Linked DNA regions of Lepisosteus oculatus. The protein of the gene in region 1 purifies or fractionates together with the protein of each later gene. This does not show direct contact. Links are inferred from orthologs where the notes say so. Each region holds a gene or a part of one and is shown on either strand. Other genes may lie near its edges. The genes, in order: pex1 and pex26.

Region 1 (9,305 bases):
TGACAAACAGACATGGACAATCAACTAGACAATAGACGTTATAATACAGCCAAGACAGAACATAGTGCAAAAACAGTGCAGTAGCTTGAAATGCAGGTGCTAATTTGAGCTGTTTATGATGCGGACAGCTTGGGGGAAGAAACCGTTTTTGAATCTATTGGTCAGTGTTCTGATACTGCGACACCTCCTACCAGAACCCAGGGGTGAAAGTATGGTAGGGAAAATAAGAGTATGTTCATTCGCCCCAAATGTTTTTTTTTTATAAATGATAACATTGCTTATCGTGACAGCCAGATTAACATGATGCTGTAGTCTCAGTGCTTTCCAAGTTACAATCAAGAGATCATTCAGTCATCCAGCCCATTTGGTGGTTAGTAGTTAACTGGTCCAAGGATCTCATCCAGCTATTTCTTGGAAGACATCAGGGTATCGGTCTCAACAATAAGGCTGAGTAACCGGTTCCATACTCCCACAACGCTTTGACTAAAGAAGTGCCTCGTTCCTGATTTTAAAATGCAATTCAATGCAGTTTGCTCTGTACATTTAAGTATACATATGAGAATCCTTGGTCATATTTCTTCCATTTTTAATGCCCGCTGTTTCTCTCTCCATTAACTCATGGGACCAAAGACACACAGACAGGCAGCTTCTTGCTCCAGATTGCTATTCAGCAAAGGGAATTCTGTGGTTAAGAGAGAATAACACATCCTTCCCACACAACCTGATCTTGTCTGCAATTCAGCACTGTGTGCAGACTGTCTCCAATCGCACACTCTCTCCCAAGTCTCCAAACTTGAAAGCAGGGCTCATCCTACATTCTGGATGGATTCTGCCTTCCAGTTTGGAAGCCTCTCTTTGTATAAATACTAGATACGTGTTGACTTGTTCTATAATGAATCATGCTTAGGCTTTTTCATTTTTTAATGGATTTAGATTGTTTTGATGTCTATGACCTGAATGGGGATGGATATATTTCTCGAGAAGAGATGTTCCACATGCTGAAAAACAGCCTAATAAAACAACCCACAGAAGAAGACCCAGATGAGGGGATCAAAGACTTGGTAGAGATCACACTGAAAAAGATGGTGAGACTATTCCTGTTTGGTGTCTTGAGCTGAAACCTTGTTTAAGACTGGTCTTAGGTTTGGAAGTTCCCCCTATACTCTAACTGAGTTTGTATTTCAGTAATACTAATCAAAAATGTAACCTTTGAAAGTTTGCTCAGTTTACACATCTGTACAAAGAGTACCTTCAAGCACACAGTATTTGAGATGTACAGACTTGTAATACTTCAGTTTATTTCTAGTACATATTATATCAACATTCTGTAAAAACACACATAAACATGTTATCAGGAATATTTCACTTATATTACACTTCAAGTTATATCTTACAACTATATCTACATATATACCCAATATTAATGCATTTAATATTGTCTGTACTGACACTTGAAAGAAGTAGTTCATCCTGTAGTGCAAGCCAGCTATTATTTAAAAAATAGATTGTTTTTAAAGTGTGGCTAACTACCAAATCAGGTTCAACATTTATGGTAAGTAATCCAAGTGAAGTAAAAATACTCTATCAAATTATTCTGAACATGGTACCATTACATTTTCTCAATAAAAATAATGCAAAGACAGAAAAAAGTCGAACATTATTAGGATACAAATACAAATACTTTATACTCGTAATACAAAAATAAACCTTTATTATTATTTACAGGACCATGACCACGACAGCAGACTTTCATACACAGATTTTGAGAAAGCAGTGCGGGATGAAAATCTTTTACTTGAAGCCTTTGGAATGTGCCTTCCTGATACAAAGGTATCCAATTAAAAGAGAGCTTTACACTGACTGATGGAGCACATGAACACAGAGAGAATAGCCAGATTTTACTGCTTACAAGAGATGTAACGTTACATCATGATAAGATTTAACTACATTTAATGGTAAATACACATCACAAATTTAGTTCAAATATGTTCTAATGTGGCAAATCTCACAGATTTAAGAATTTGTGTAATTGGTGTGTTTATGTTAAACATTACAAAATATACTTAGAAATGCTTTTATTTTAAAAATGTAAATTTGCTTTTGTACGGTAGACAATTATATTGGAACATTTTTATAATATCTCAAAGATTAATACTTATCATGTGTAATTCAAAACAAATTTATCTTTTTTTCTCTTTGTATTACAGAGTATACTGGCATTTGAACAGCAGGTGTTCCACAATACTACTGAGACTTAAATAATATTATATAATCTAGAATTGACTACCTTTGTAAGAAATAAACTTTTATTTGGATGTATTGCAAACAAGCTTAATCCTGTCCTTATGAAAAGCCAGTTCATAATCACTTTTCTTTGAGGGTGTTGTAGTGTAGTGTTTCAGTTGTAATCGTCTTCAAATGTGTGCCTGAAGAAGGCTTCACAGCTAAAATGTTGTGGGATTTTTTGCATTTTACAGCCAAAACATTGTTTGTTTGTTATGCCTTTTAAGGTCAAAACACTAACGCCAGACTGTATTAGTTCTAATGCTTATCTGGATTGTTCCTCCTACTTCTGTTCAGCAAGGAGGTTTCTTCAGCACCTTTCAAATATCAATATTAATTTAATCAAAGTGATTTCATGGGCTTCTTATTATTCTAGTTAATGTCCGAGAATGACCGTTTTGGAATGCTGAAGACCTTCTGGAGCCACTCGGAAATCAATGTGTTATGTCTCATCCTCATTCACACAGCTCCTTGCTCTCGAGCAGAGCGTTTCCCAGTGTAAAGAGCACAATTAAATCCTCCTGCGTGGTTTTGGGGCAATTGGCTGCTGCTCTCCTGGCTTTGACTCTGGAACCGAAGAGATCTGGTTGCAAAAGAAAAAACAAATATGGTAAAATGCCCCAACACAGTTTTCCTATATTGTTATAACTCCACAGTGCCTCGAGGCAGAATATGTCTCCTACTGAATAGTCTTCGGAGAGATGGAAAGGTGGCGATAGAAAAAAAAGGCATGAGTGGCTCATAATGGATTATGTACAAACACAGGTGCACATCTGAGCACCAGTTTATTTGGAAATCTATATGTGGACTAAAAGAGACGAATTAGAAACATTTCAGATCTGATAGTCCTATTATTGGAAGTTATGCACATGGAATCCAGCTGGGCAGTTCTTCTCACACATATGCTTGTTGGTTTTGTAACACTACACTACTGTGCAAAGCCTTTCCAAATATCTTACAAGTACTGTAATGTGTGAGGTTTCTGATGGCTTGTGTTTTTAACAGCTCTACTGGCCTACTGAACAACAGCAGAAATGGAGAATAATGCCAAACACACATAACAGAAATGAAATGCTAAGACAGTGAAGGTCTTATAAAGAACTTAAAATCTGCAACTCACCTTAATTATTTTTGATCTGATTAAGTCGACTGAAGTGTTTAGGGAATCATCTCCCATATCCACTTTGGGTGTTTCTGGTAGTTTTGGTCCAATGATTGTCTCATTTGTTCTGTTAATTCCCAAAAGAGAGAGTTCCCCAGCCTGTTCCATTTTTCTTTTCCTTTCTTGTAAATGTGTGGTTCTTGGTATGAATCTTGCAGTACTGCTTTTAACTACAGCAACAGGATCTTTCTGGTCCTTGTGAACTCGCTTATCTTTACGAACAGACCCTAAGGGATCCCCCAAGGAATTCTTACTGTGATCAGCTGAACGATTCCTGGGCACCACTCTGAACCTTTCAGATGAAGAACCCACTTCCGGAAGTCCCTTAAAGCTAAAATATGTCTGTTCCCCAAACGACTGATGCCCAGGGATGTCTTCCTGAGGAGGAGGAGGCAGCATGGGATAGCCATAATAATCATTCCAGCTCTCGACTTTTTCACCATCATCACCAGTTTCCTCTGCTTGCTGTTGTTCACATGCAGCTTCCTCAGATGTACTAGGCTTCTCCACTTTCTTCTCTGTATTATCATGGTCTCCTCCTGGAAGGAAATAAGAAGCCTGACTTCCAGAACACTCGTAGTATTTCAGGATATGCACATTAAATCCACAAGGTCTGGTAAACAAAAAAAACAAATATCGATTTTGTCTTTGTATATTCATAACTATTACATAAGACCTCCTTACAAAGCTTTTAAATTCGTGTAAGTGATCAACTACACTTAAAGAGTGGAACAAATATGGGCCCCCAGCTTTAAATGGGAAGGTCTTCTGAACTTTTAGGACTATTCTGACTAAAGCATGAATCAACATTTGATTCATTTGACTCAACATTTGATTTTTATTTTAAAAAGCTCACCTTTATTCCGTGTTACTCTTGCAATATACCTCCTCCTGTCCTGCAATTTTTCCCTGGTGTCCTGCACCGTTTCATACTCTGGAGCATAGCACACATGTAGAAGTCCACCAAAAAAACTCCTCTCATCCAGTTTTCGTTTGGCTACTCTGTATTGGGTAAAATATTTTAAATAGTTGTGGGACACTGATGATTTTTCGTTTTATCAACATTTTAAAATGCAATTATTTCTTTGGTGTTGTATTAAAAATAAAGGGATATTTACTAAAATCACACAGTCACAGTATATTCACTGAATATTCTGCACTTTCACAATTAACAGGTGAAATTAACTCGAATTAATGTGCTTAAAGAAATCCAGATTTTATTGTCGAGTAGGCTGTATGCCTTGCTGGCATAACGTTTTGTCCTTCAGTTCATCACAAACAAGCAGTTAGCAAAAAAAACACACACAAACAGCAAACAGAACAAGAAACACAAATGTGAATTCGATCCAAATGCTAGGAAGACCACTGTTACCTTACTGGTGTGAAGTGGTATTATAAATGAAAATACCAGAACTGTTACCTTGCACTTTGTAGTTTCTGGAACTTTATCAAGTACACTTCTGTGAATTGTTCTGACGGATATTCGTCTAACACACGGTATTCTTCAATCACTCCATACAGAGCAAAAAGCTGAACCAGCTCAGACATCACCCCCAACGCAGGCACCCCCTGGACCAACAAGCAGCGGGACTCCAAGTTGATAGTATAAACCTAAACAAAAGGAATTGCACATATTACACTTCCTAAAGCTGCTTTTGACTTTGTCACCGTCAATAAATAAGAGTCAGTCTTCTTAGACTGCTCCAATAGAGCTCTGCTGGGTTAAATATACTGTGGTCGTGCTGGACTTCGTAAACCCGCATTAAAAGCAAGTTTCTAATCTGAAAGAGTTTAAAGATGTTTCTTGTCTGACAGCTTGAGCCCAGCAGAACACAGTAATTGATATAGCAGGCTACGTACAGAAACAATCGTTTCGGTAAAGACAAACACAGGGGGAAAAAGCTAACCTTGACAGCCTTAAGCCTCCTCCCTTCCCTGTATTTAGCTCTTGTATAACAAACGTCTGTTTGTTGGTGGTGTTTTAAAATCTCCGGGATGCTCCAACTGGAGGCAGCCATCTTGTTCTGTCAAGGCAGAAACAGCCTACACAGAGCTAATCGAGCGTGACCAATCGGGAAGGTTTCTGGCGCTGATTGCCCCCGTATCATTGTACAGTACCATAGGCTGTAGTCTGTCAGCTTTAAACCAATGAAAAATAAAACCGAGTTCCTGTTTTGATACTTAGGGGACTGGTGCATAATCTCAATGCGCGTTGCAATAAGATTTAAAAAAAGAATGTTTCATTTACGTTTAGGGTGACAGACAATTAATATCAAATAATTAATTTACACAGAGATGTACTGGGGGAAATACATACTCTTCGTGCACAGCAAAGCTTCGATGCTGTAATACCGAACAGCAGCAGCACCTACAAAATATTCAAATTTGACGATTTTTGTTGAACTGCTCCTAGCCGGAGAGCGAGTCGCTCGCATTGCCCTCCTCTCTGCAGGTGGTGAAGCGCTGCTGTACAGTATCTTGTAATATCTATTTCTGCAGCAGCAATGCTGGGAAGCCATGGCATACAGCCAGTGACATTAGTTTTTAATAATGCTAAAAACTGTTTTCTGCACCTCTCTTCGAGCTTAGTTTCACAGCTTCGCCTTCAAGAGGTAGTACTCTGAGACCTTACGTTGTCGTGTTAGTGATATCCATGTACCTAACCAATTGCCAATGCTTGCGTATTGTTTGTAGTCAGGACTTAGCATAAATAAAGATGTCGAAATACAGTCTAATACGAAACTCGCTTATAAGGTGGATCTTTACACCTTTGAGTCTGAATCATAGCTGAGACGGATACTCAAATACAGCGCAGGGTTTAGAGCCGACTGCCACGGTCCAGTATTTGCAGGGGGGTTTCTCATTTTCATCTCGTTTGGACTCAGCGGTCTTGTACTAGAACTGATTTCTTGATTGATTGATTCATTTGAAACCTTTCCGCGGTGAGGAGCTGGAGATGACCCTTTTAATAGACTCCCCACAGGATGAGACCTCGGCCGCGTGATTGCGATGCGAGGTGTTTCTGTTTCTGTTTTCTTTTTGCGTTTCCAATCAGAACCAAGCCCTGGAGCTCTCCTGGGACCGCTGTCAACCCGTGTACCTCAGCTGGACGAAATGCCTGCAGTCTTCATTCCAGGGGGAGAGCGTTGTAGAGGTCAACAGGCACTTGGGTGCCAGGCTTGGAATCAAAGATGGAGAGCAGGTAGGGATGTCATGGACAGCTTCTCCAGCTCCTGAATTTCTGGTGTCATATTTTACACAAACGGCTGCAAAGGACAACCTCAAAACAGAGACACCCACCTACTGCATGACAAACCCTTGAGCTTCACTCTATGTTTGCCTAACAACATCATTCTTATCACAAGGAAGTTACCATTATGATGACGATTATTGTGATAATTACATATGTGCTGTTTCTTTATACTGTATGTGAATGTGTGAAGTTTTATTACATTATTTTCCAGGCATTTCTCAGACCTTGCTGGCAGATCCTATCCATTCAGCAGGTGTTTGTGGAACCACTGTCATCTGATGACTGGGAGATATTGGTATGTGTTTAGTCTGCAATTTTTTAATGTAAACCAAATGCTCTCATCTACTGTATATGACAAATTAACTTGAATATTCACATTTTGACCCAATCATGCGTTTGTCAGAAGTGAGAATGGACATCACTTAAATGTGATAAAAATGGCGCGGGTTTGTTATTGTCCCACTGAGATTACACGAGCTGACGACGGGCTGTCACTTTTCTTTCAGGAGCTTCACAGCTCAGCACTTGAGCGACACCTCCTTGACCAGATAAGGGTCGTGTATCCAAACGGACTGTTTCCCGTGTGGGTGGACCAGCACACTGTCATCTACGTCAGGATAGGTTTGCAATTTGCACTCTTCCCTCTATCCGCAATTGTTCTGTAGCAGGTATTCGGTGCTATGCCGGGTGATTTAAGACCTAAGTGGCATGAGACCCGTGTGTTCCTCTGCAAGATGTTGCACTCATTTTGCTTTTGTTTTGTTGAAATGTGAGGTCTAGCTCCTGACTGGAAGGTCCTGGGATTAATCCCAGGTAGGGGCAAGTGATTTCGCTTGCTCTAATTCCTTCCTGAAGACACCCAGGTCCACTCAGCCTGCTTTCCAAATGAGTACCGGGGGTTAATCCTTCTGGGGGTAACAGGCTGGCCGGAGTGCGATGCTGACCGCATCACCTCCACCTCCAGTGTCAGATGGTTGAAAAGAATGGTGGCCCCTGCCTCCCTTTCTCCATGGGCCTTTATGGCCTGAAAAGGGGACCTAACCTACCTACCTTTGTTAAAATGTATTATTGGAGACACAGACACAAACAGGCCAGCAAGAGTCACTTTATTGTGTGTGTAAAACACACTTATTACACGTTTAAGGGGAGCCTAATCCCAGCTCCAGGTCTCCAGGTATTTAATTTTGAAATACGTGAATCAGGTGTTCATTCATAAGCAGGAGGAAAAGACATTGTCAATGTTAGTAGGAGACTTAATAATTAATGTTTTTGCCACTTTTGCTGATTTCTTGGATGTGTACTAAAGCTAGTTTTAGTGACCATTGAGCTTGCTGTTAGAAATAGTCCCTGGCTTGCATTAGAAAAAAACATGAAAGTTTGACTTCAGTCAGTGTTATTTACGGTTGTATTCCCATGACGTAGTTAACCTAGTGTGAGGCAAAGTTTAGACTTACTATAGTGGTTTTGTGTAAGCTGGATATTGACTTCTTACCTATGATTAATCTTCATACAATTACAACCTCCAAACTCCAGCCAGCAAAAAAAAACAACAATATTGTTCACACATATGTTGTGTGTTAAGTCCTTAAATGTGTCATTGTTATGTCAATTGTGGTCCAGCATCTGTCTCCCGAGAAACAATGACAGACTGTTTGTAACGCGTTGATCTTCCTGTTCCTGCTCGGCTCCAGCTGCCCTCACGCCCGCTGCTCCGTATGGCCGGCTGGAGCAGCTCACCGAGCTGATCGTCTCCCCCAAGCTGCGCCAAGACGGGGAGAGCCCGGCGCGCCCTTCTGCCCCCCCGAACTGGCAAGCAGATGCCAGTCAGGCTCGGGGTCCGCACGGGCCAGACAACGCCCCGGGGAGAGACGCGTTGGGCACCCACCGCGGGGCGCCACCGTGCGTCTCCCCCGGAGGGGGGCGCAATCTGCGGAGCCTGATCCGATCCATGTTCGCCGGGAGCCCTGCCCCCCAGAGGGAGGTTCCCGCTGTCCCTTCGGTGCCGCCCGTCCTCGGGGACTCTGTTTTCAGAGTGAGCAGGAGCGCCCCCTTCCCTGCCGGCCGGCAGAGCCCCGGTCACGGAGCAGCCCACGTCTTCCCCTGGCGCCACCCCTGCGCGGCGCGCGGCGGGGCCCCGTTCGCTGTCACCTACGGCCGGCTGTCCGGGCTGCACCGCCCCAGGGAACCAAGGGAAAAGCCGCACAGGACGCTGTCCCAGCCCGAGAGGAAGAGGGGCCCCGAGGCTCGGGGCGCTGGAGACCAGCTCGGGTCCGGAGGGGGCGCCGCAGGGCCCCTGGCCGTCAGGATCATATGCCATGGGGTGGAGGAGCTGGCGGACACCCAGGGCTGCGGCAGCAGGAGAGGGATGCCGTATGGTGGGAGGGTGTGGGTGAGTGGGGGGCCGCAGCACGGCTCAGTGGTTCGAGCTCCAGACTCGTTACTGGAGTTGGTGGGTTCAGACACTGTAGCGAGGTACGTCACTCAGATTGCTCCGGAAGAGTAAACGAGGGGTAGGAAAGCACGTTGCTTGGACACAACAGTGTCGATATACAGTACGATTACAGCCACAGGGCTGCATTCAATTTGGAGCTGGTGACAGGAATGTTT
Region 2 (9,880 bases), on another chromosome or scaffold:
CAACCTGGAGACGTGCAGGAACCCATCTGCACTATACATCACAATTTTATGAGGTCTTTTATCAGAGGGGCCTATTCACCACATTCCTCTGCATTTAGGGAGAGGCACCAGGCTGCTTGGTCAAGGCATAGAAATAATTAATAACACTTAATTAATAAAGTGAAATAATAGAGCATCCTGTAAACTACAACTACAAACGATCCAGCAGCCATATCACCCTGCAGCTCACCACTGGTAGCCCACTGAAGCTAAGCATGTGTGAGCCTGGTCAGTACCTGGATCGGAGACCTCCTGGGAAAAACTAAGGTTGCTGCTGGAAGAGGTGTTAGTGGGGACAGCAGGGGGCGCTCACCCTGCGGTCCATGTGGGTCCTAATGTCCCAGTATAGTGAAGGTGACACTATACTGTAAAACAGGCGCCGTCCTTCAGATGAGACGTAAAACCGAGGACCTGACTCTCTGTGGTCATTAAAAATCCCAGGGCGCTTCTCGAAAAGAGTAGGGGTGTAACCCCGGTGTCCTGGCCAAATTTCCCAATGGCCCTTACTGATCATGGCCTCCTAATAATCCCCCTCTATAAATTGGCTACATTACTCTGCTCTCCTCCCCACTGATAGCTGATGTGTGGTGAGCGTTCCGACGCACTATATCTGCTGTTGCATCATCCAGGTGGATGCTGCACGGTGGTGGTGGAGGGGAGTCCCCATTACTTGTAAAGTGCTTTGCGTGGAGTGTCCAGAAAAGCGCTATATAAGTGTAAGCAATTATTATTATAACAAAAATACCTTTTCTGTTTTGAAGGGATATGCATAGTTAAAATTAACAAACCTTTTATGTTTCTGATACAAGCTTTTTACATCTCATGGCCAGAATGAGAGGTGAAATCATTGTTCCATTTTTTGTCACCTTGGCTAAATTTGTTAACAGCACCCTTACTGCTTAAGGATTTCCATTTATACAGTATGTTAAACATGTTGAAGCCCACAGAACAATGGTGGTGTTCCACAGGTGAACAACAGGATAATTTTCTTGCATAGTGTTTATAACATAATGGTTCAATGCTTTAACATGTAGCTAAATCCACCTTTTTATGATTTTTCATTAGTCAAGAGAGCAAAAAAAAAAACTACATTTTTGCAACTATTTTTATAATTTAAATCAAAGGAGAACAACCTGAACACTAGACTAGAACTACCATACAAAGTCTGCTGGTATCGCCACTCACCGAAGGTGGACAGTATCCCAGAGAGCACCCAGATGATCAGAGACAAACCCACGTTGCCACTGTTCTTGAGAACACCTTTGGGAGCAATGAAGATCCCACTGCCCACCACAGTGCCGATGATCAGACAGACAGCTCCCAGCAGGTCAATCTTCTTCCTCAAGTAAACAGTTTCAGCTCCTGACTTAGCTTCACTTTTATTCCCCTCCATGTTTGCAGAATTGCTCCAAGGAAGAACATGCACTCACACTCCAAGGCTGTGTTTTTTGGACTATGTGCTGCACAGTCGCCACAGTAACCTATTTTGGGCCAAAAACAAAGGAAGCAGTCTTCTCGAGTTGCTCTCGCATAGTTAATCAGAGACGTCTGAGGGTCAAACTGCTGCCTGTGTGCGCGCAGCTTGTTGAGAGAGAGAAGGCCACCCAATGGAAAACAGCTGCCTGACACTACAGGCCCCCACCTCCTTTTTTATTCCTCAAATACTGTATCTGTGGACTGAATTTGGGCACTGAATTCTGAGAAAATATTTTTCATTAAATAGGCCTAGGGAAGGATCGCAGGATTTCTTTTAAAAAATCAAAATCAATGACAATCACAAGTCATGACATGTTTTGTAAACAAAATAAAACCTGTCAAAAAATTTATATTTGATGGAAGATGGCTTCATATATTTCCTTATTACACAAAGTCCTTACTATCTTTACAGAGGAGGATTTTTCAAATGCACAATCATTATTTTATTTTTACATCCACATATTTGGATTCACTGTGAGCTTTGTACCATTACAAATGGGAACAAGGGCTTTCCTTCAAGATGTAATTTTATTAAGCCATCATGCTCCGAGTACCACAGAGTCAATCAGAAACTTAAAGTCAATCTCACTAACATTACTGCTCAAAATACTATCGTTTCTTCCATTGTGTGTGTATCTCTCATTATTAAGCCGGTATCTCCAATAACATCCTCAGAGCTGGAACACAGCGTGATTCTGGCTAACATGCGACAATGAAATGCACATTGTGTCTTACAAAAGTATCCACCCCCTGCCAAGAACAGGGGAAATTAATGTGCGTTAAGAAGGACAATGGCCTGGATAGCAGAAGGCTGTTTGCCACAGACACTCAGGAGTGTAATTTGGCGCCAAACGTTAATAGTGAGGGGCTTGCGTGGACTGCCTGAACACCGGCAGAGCGCTTCGTTTCCGTAACCACGGAGCAAGCGGTGTGCTGGTGTATAGTCGTATCGTAAGGCGTCTTCTCCGCTATATACTGTACAACGAAAAGTCTTTCCACTAAAGGGAAAATTATACTTCGGTAACCACTTCGCTACAACGCTGGTTCAGAGCTTGGACCCCATCCGCGCGCTCGCGGGGATGTTAAATAGCAAACCTGTTAAGCCTCAGGTGCTGTAGTTACAGTAGCTGTGCATTCCCTAGCGCCGCGGAGTACGGAGTGCAGAAAGAGCTGTGTTCCACTGTCACACCTGCAAGAGAAAAACTGTCTAGTACTGATTAACCCAACAGAGAAAACAAATCTTGAGTGCTGAGAGATTTTGATTTCATATGTACAAATATTTTGAACTATACACTGTAGTTTAAATTGGCCAAAGAGGCTGATTTATGTTTATATAAATGTTTGAGTTATTATTGCCTTGATTAATACAACTACAAAATATATAATTTAAGATCGAATGATTAATTACAGTATAATTACAGGACAACTCCAGAGATTTGACACTGTATTTGAACGAAAAGAATCGGTATATCATGTGCAGATTACACATGACAGCACACAAGTAAAGTATCCAGAGTAGGTTTATACTTACCCCAATGTTCACATAATCTGATTAAAAGTTCTATCTACAATTGTATAAGACCAATGTCTGTATCTGTTCCCACGCCTAGAGCTGTCATATTCAAACTCCCACAGAGACATTAATTGATATCAACACAGATTTATGTGCTTGAGTGAATCACTACAGGCAAGCAAAAACAAAAAAATACTGAGTTAATCAGTTATATTTATTTCTGCAATTAAGTGGAGTTTTGTCATTTTCATTTTGGAATTTTTAACATTCACATAGTATTTTTAATTCATTTAAAGCCAGTCATCTGAACAACACACTTTTATTCTCCAATAAAGACTTCAGCTGCACCTGACCTGTAGCTCTTAGAGGAAGCACTATAGGAATGCAGTAGATTGCCTGTAAGACAAAAGATGGCTATTTCATATACATTTGCTTAACACTGTACAAAATAGTGAGCAAATGCTAAGACAGACCATGGGATACAGATGGAAATAGCAAGCAGTCTGAAGATTTTTATCCCAAAGTTACTAAATACAGATCATTACAATTAGCCCTAAAAACCTGCACTGCTGTGTTCTGAAGTGTTCTTGAACTGTCACAGAGTATGTTAAAGTGTACACATGATTTCAGACATTAAACCACTCTTTAAAAAATAGAACGTTTTGTTTTAATGTCACTGTCTTAGTGGCATAACATCTGAGCTGTCAGTTAAAACAGGGGAAATGCATAGGCAATAGCTGTAGAATAATTGAATATTTATAAAATAACAAGTAATAGGTTTATTCCATGCTGAAAAAAAGAAGAAAGAGAACACAACGTTTCAACGTTGTGTTCTCTTTCTTCTTTTTTTCAGCATGGAATAAACCTATTACTTGTTCCTTTGCAGCCTACGCATGCTGACGCAGCTACCCACCTGATTTATAAAATAAGTCTATCAAGGGAAATCCTCAAAAGCTGATAGGAAAAACCTAACTTAGATTAATTGTAAGTGTATGTATTGAAGTCAGGATAATTCAGTTATTAAAAAAACTGAGCTTTTGATTGTAGAGGGGGAGAAGGGGAAAAGGGAAGAGAATGGGAGACTGAAAAAAACTAAAATTATCCACTGTCCATATAGTCTAAGGTCTTGCTCCGATTTAGAATTAACAGAAATCATGAAGTAGATCAAGAATAGCTTTTGTGACAAAACTCTAGAAAAATCGGTCAGATTGTGTAAGTACTGCAGTTGCTCACAAAATAAATGTATAAGAAAACCCAAACAGTTAAAAAAATAACAATCAAGTGTGTCAGATTGAGATAGCTGGTGTCCTACTCACGCTCCATCTCCTACTATTCTAGATTCCATGTTATATCACAAATAGTATAGGTTGTGCTAACTTTTAATTTTTTTTTCTGTTTATCTCTCTATGTGTTAAGAATAGAGGACACAAACGCTACAAAAGTCAAGAGCATCTTAACCTTCCTGCTGCTACAGATGCAGTGCTGTGGAATAGGCTGTGCATGTGATAACTATTCATTGCTGTTTCAACGGTGTCGTGACTGCCAGCTTTAAAGAAACAAAATATCTGATCTAGGGGTCTGAATACTTTTGCAATACTTGGCAGGTATGAAGAATAGCTGGTAGCTCCTGCTGTAATATTTCATATACCAGAGAATAAACAAATAAGAAACATTTATAAAGATAAAATATAAAGTATATTATATTCAATAATATATTTGTTATGTATTATATTAAATTAATTATAATCTTATAAAAATAAAATATTAGTAAGTTGCTGCTTTATAAAATTATAAAAATAAGTATTAGTCCGTCCTTCGGATGAGACGTAAAACCGAGGTCCTGACTCTCTGTGGTCATTAAAAATCCCAGGGCTCTTCTCGAAAAGAGTAGGGGTGTACCCCGGTGTCCTGGCCAAATTGGCTACATTACTCTGCTCTCCTCCCCACTGATAGCTGATGTGTGGTGAGCGTTCTGGCGCACTATGGCTGCCGTCGCATCATCCAGGTGGATGCTGCACATTGGTGGTGGTGGAGGGGAGTCCCCATTACCTGTAAAGCGCTTTGAGTGGAGTGTCCAGAAAAGCGCTATATAAGTGTAAGCAATTATTATTATTATTATTATAGTCTCCACAAACATATATTATGGGAAGTGTAGTTTTCTAGCGGTCTCCAATGAGTGCATTCTAACAGTAAAAACTATGATTCCCACAGTTCATTGCGTTGTTGACATCCGCTCCAAGTATGTCCGCTGTGTAGCTGATCAGTTTTAACTTTGATGTGGAAAAAAGTGTAATAAGGTTTTGATTTTTTAGACGCAGATTTCTAAATCAACACAATATCTTTTTTTTGCTTTCTTTTCCTCTTGCGTTTCGATGTGGTAAAATACATTAATGTTACCTGCTCAATTTTAAATAGTGAAAGTCAGTTTTCTGCGAAACAGGATTAAACGTGCTGTGAGTGCGTGAAAGGTTGGTATATTATATAGTAAATGTGAAGAGTATAGTAAGTAAAAGTCTCTTTAAAAATGATCTCTTTAAAATGATGTTAGTGTTAATGGATTGATGGTTCAAAAAGATCAATAAAAACTCAAATAACTTTTGTCGTACAGTTCTGCAAACGGTGGAGAAAATGTTAGATGGTTATTTACTCAGAATAAATATAAAACGTACTATATGGAGTGAATTATTTGTAATGCTTTTTACGGAGATAAAACCTCCTGACACTTTTCGATTAACATCTGCAATTTAAAAATAAATTCTTAATCGAATGCATATTCGCAAAGATTTTCGTTGTTTTTTTATGCCTTTACATACTTTTATGCCTTTACATACTGAATTACTTAACATTAGTATCCAGATCGGGTTTTTCACTTCTTAAGTGAAACAAGTGAGTATTGTATTCAGAGTGATTAGTAACTTCATAGTGGATTGATATGCAGTACACATGTACATGCATGCCTATTTGCAGAATAAATGATTACTTATGGTGGCATGATGGTGCAGTAGTTGGCATTGCTAGTTTGCAGCGCTGGGGGCCTGTGTCTGTGGTGTTGGATGGGAGTTCTGTCCAGGGTGTATCCTGCCCTGTGCTAGTTGCTTCCCGCGATAGGCTTCGGATCCCCCGAGACCCTGAACTGGATAAAGCGGTTAGAAAATGGATGGATAGATGAATAAGTGCTTTCATTCTTATTTGAAGTTATCAATCAAAGTTTATTTATCAAATGCACAACAACACAGTGTGCAGCAGTAGTTGCTGGCAATGGAATGTCTTTTCTACGAGCTCACTGGGAGAGATAAAAATCACAGAATTAAAGTTGCAAAATAAGGTTACATAATGATAGATAATAGTGCAATAGAAATTCAATAAGATAAACTCAATATAAATAGAGTTGCTATGTGTCCAGGGTGTATGCAATACATTATGTCCAAGTAGTGCAGTATGCCAAATACAATGAAAACTGTATGTCCATGTAGCCATTGTGGGTGACTTGCTGAAGGCACTATAGGATTTGCTGAAGGAATTATGACAGTGAACACAAATCTGCATGCTGTTGCATTGTATCTTAACAGAAGACGCAGTCCTTGCGCTGCTGTGGAAAGTGAATATTTTCTGTTTCTCTGCAAGGATGCGGAGCAGCTCCTCCACCTCTCTGGCCCATGTGAGGGGCCTGGGCTCGGTGCGACTCGGCAGCAGCCCGCTGCTGTCCCAGGGCTCGGCTCAGGCGCTCAGCCTGCTGGAGACCGCCGCCGAGCAGCTGATGGTGCAGCGGGATTTTCGAGCAGCGCTGGATTCATGCGAGAGAGGTTTGGACAGCATGGGGAGTGTCCCTGAGCAGGAGGACACATCAAGGTACCGCTACAGCCAAAGACAAACAAGGGCGTGTTGTGTACTCATAATAGTGCAATATGTTTTGGGGGCCAATAATGAGATTGACAAGGAAATCTGGGTATTGATTAATAAAATTAAGTAGTTTACAGTGCCTTCAAAAAGTATTCACCCCCATTGATGATTTCTTGTTCTACTGTGTTGCAAAGTCAAATTAAAACATATTTAAATGGGATTTTTTTCCTCTAAAATGTTAAAATGAAATGAAGTATTTAGACGTCTTCAAAATTATATTAAAAATAAAAATCTGAAAATTTCTTAATTGATAAGTATTCACCCCCTTTGTTTTAACAACCTAAATTGGGTGAGGTATTCAACCACCTTGAGAGATATCACACTAAATGTCACGAAGAGTAGATCAGGACCCTATGCAGACGATAGAATCCGGAAGGGAGTGCAACAGACACGGGGAGGAGACGGAGAGGAACTGGGCAGGTGGACGAACGGGGGTGTGACGATGGTGCACTGCCCGTGGAACTTCGAGAAGAAGTTGTAAGGAGGAAAAAAACTGGAGAAGGTTATTAAAAGATTGGCAAAGCTTTGAGCCTTCCTAGGAGCACCGTGAAGTCCAGTGTAACAAAATGGAAAAAACATGGCACAACCTAGACACTACTAAGATCAGGCCGTCCTACCAAATTGAGCAACCGGACAAGAAGGCCAATTGTCAGAGAAGTGACCAAGAGGCCAGCTACAACACTGACAGAGTTGCAGAGCTCTTTGGCTTAAATGGGAGAAACTGTCCAGACATCAACAATCTCTTCAGCACTTCACAGATTTGGCCTCTTTGGGAGATTGGCTAGAAGGAAGCCACTTCTGAGAAAGGCCAACATTAAATCACTCCTGGAGTTTGCTAGAAACCAAATACAACTGAACACCCAGGTAACACCATCAAGCATGGTGGTGGCAGCATCATGCTCTGGGGTTGCTTTTTAGCAGGAGGAACTGGAAAGCTTGTTGCCATCAAGGGCAACATGGATGGAGCCAAATACAGGCAAATCCTTGAGGAGAACCTGTTTCAGTCAGCCAGAGATCTGCGTTTAGGTTGAAGATTCATTTTCCAGCAGGACAATGACCCAAAGCACATGGCAAAAACTATCAAGGAATGGTTTGAAAAAAAGAAGGTTAGTATTCTGGAATGGCCCAGCTAGAGCCCAGAGGTGAATCCAATTGAAATTCTGTGGTGAGACCTGAACATTTCTTTCCACAGATGCTCTCCATCTAATTTGGCAGAGTTGGAGCAAATTTGCATTGAAGAATGGGCAAAAATACCACAATTTAAATGTGCAAAGCTCATACAGACAATCCCGAGAAGACTCATGGCTGTAATTGCTGCTAAAGGACTATGTACAAAGTATTGACTGGGGGTGGGGCTAAATACTTTTGTTAATGAGAAATGTAAGTCTTTCATTCTGGAGAAATGAATGTTCTTGAATTAAAAAAAAAAGATTCATAAATGTTTAATTTATTGTGTTATTGAAAAGTGAAAAAAATTTTTAATGTGTTAAATGTGGAGGTGTAACAGGAACAAAATGCAAAAGAAATCAAGGGGGTGAATACTTTCTAAAGGCACTGTATATTAACATAGAGTCTGACAGAATTTGCTGCTATGTTCTGACTGTGAGTAGCCTCACAATTTTTTGGCTGTACATCTTTTTGAGGAAATTCAGGAACTTGGAGGAAAGTCAAAATAAATACAGGGCCCTTTTGGGTCAACCCGTCCCACAGGTCCCAGTGACCAGAACAGCTGAAAGTTCTTGTTTATTTATCTAACCAGATAAGTAAATTGAGAACAAATTCTCCTTTATGGTGATGACCTGGAGTGTGCCCTTTCCTGCTGCAAGCCATTTCCTGGAGAAATTGCAGTGATGTACAGCAGTGTTCCAACCAAGATTTAAATCAGGAGCCCTGGTCATTGCTCCATACTACTGACCTGATATTTAGTATTTCCTTAGACATCAAAAGGGACATTAGTTCATAACACATTAAGACGCCAGTTATGATTCATAAAGTGCTTTGTCGCTGTATCTGATCAAGCCTAGTCTACAGGTAGTACTGAAGAGTGTGAAGAAAAAATCAAGATGTCATCATGTTTACTGGATCATTAAGATTATTCCAGTGGCCAAAGCAGAGAGATGAATGCTGTGTACTTCTACAGAAGGGCTGTCCTATCCTAAACCGAAATAATTTCTCATTACTTTATCTGATCTGCTGTGCACTGGGGTGCTGGAGCATAATGGGTCTGTCATGCAGTAGCAAATTAAGTTTTTAGTGCTTTAGGATATTTTGGGATGAAAAGTGTGATACAATTTCTATAGAAGATCTACCTTGCTCTCTGTACAGCATCATTCATAGGTACATTTTAACACATTCTTCTACAATATATGTATATGTATTCTATAACATATATGGAAATATAAATTGTGGAGCTTATATACAGTATTTCATCTGGTTTCATACCATCTGTCTCAGATTCAGAAGCTTATTGGCCCCACAGACAAAAAAAATCTTCTACCTTACATGAGACACTTTTCTTTTCTCACATAAACAAAATACTATCTAGTATAAACGAGATATTTTTTTTCTCCGTAGCGCTAGTAAGCTTCTGTAAAGAAGAATGCAGATCTATTTTTCTGGATTTTTCTTCAATTTAAATGAAAAGACCCTTAAGCTAAAAGTATGCTCTACTGTTCAGTGAGAATATAGTGTTTGAAAAGAAGTCTAGTATTTGCTTAAATTATTATTTTCCGGCTCTGAAAAGGATACAAATTGGGTGTTTAGTTAAGATGAATTGCTTCTCATCCTTTTTTGAAGAATCAAGGCCATTCAAGCAGAAATGAGTGAATCCACATTATGAATGAGAAACAGGCTTATATGCTGTGGGCCCAACAGAATAGTCCAGATACTAGATTATTACCCTGTGACCTGTAGAATTGTTTGTGATGTGCTGTAGATGGACTGTTATTGCAA

The links.
Region 2: the proteins of pex1 (region 1) and pex26 purify together in Homo sapiens (affinity purification with western blotting; 3 studies listed by BioGRID and IntAct, with this or other methods). This does not show direct contact. The link is inferred for Lepisosteus oculatus from reciprocal best matches to the Homo sapiens genes PEX1 and PEX26.

What each region holds. Positions count from the first base shown.
Region 1 is NC_090705.1:5,009,215-5,018,519, forward strand, and holds the start of pex1 (peroxisomal ATPase PEX1), read left to right. Parts: upstream 1-5,602; 5' UTR 5,603-5,949; coding exon 5,950-6,057; intron 6,058-6,500; coding exon 6,501-6,647; intron 6,648-6,909; coding exon 6,910-6,993; intron 6,994-7,204; coding exon 7,205-7,319; intron 7,320-8,389; coding exon 8,390-9,087; intron 9,088-9,305. Other genes in the region: clxn (calaxin), read left to right, coding at 934-1,085, 1,726-1,830, 2,208-2,258; rbm48 (RNA-binding protein 48), read right to left, coding at 2,795-2,866, 3,404-3,984, 4,302-4,447, 4,866-5,056, 5,353-5,463. UniProt on the Homo sapiens protein: Component of the PEX1-PEX6 AAA ATPase complex, a protein dislocase complex that mediates the ATP-dependent extraction of the PEX5 receptor from peroxisomal membranes, an essential step for PEX5 recycling.
Region 2 is NC_090702.1:9,040,315-9,050,194, forward strand, and holds the start of pex26 (peroxisome assembly protein 26), read left to right. Parts: upstream 1-5,262; 5' UTR 5,263-5,496; intron 5,497-6,652; 5' UTR 6,653-6,653; coding exon 6,654-6,877; intron 6,878-9,880. Other genes in the region: cystine/glutamate transporter, read right to left, coding at 1,225-1,432. UniProt on the Homo sapiens protein: Peroxisomal docking factor that anchors PEX1 and PEX6 to peroxisome membranes. PEX26 is therefore required for the formation of the PEX1-PEX6 AAA ATPase complex, a complex that mediates the extraction of the PEX5 receptor from peroxisomal membrane.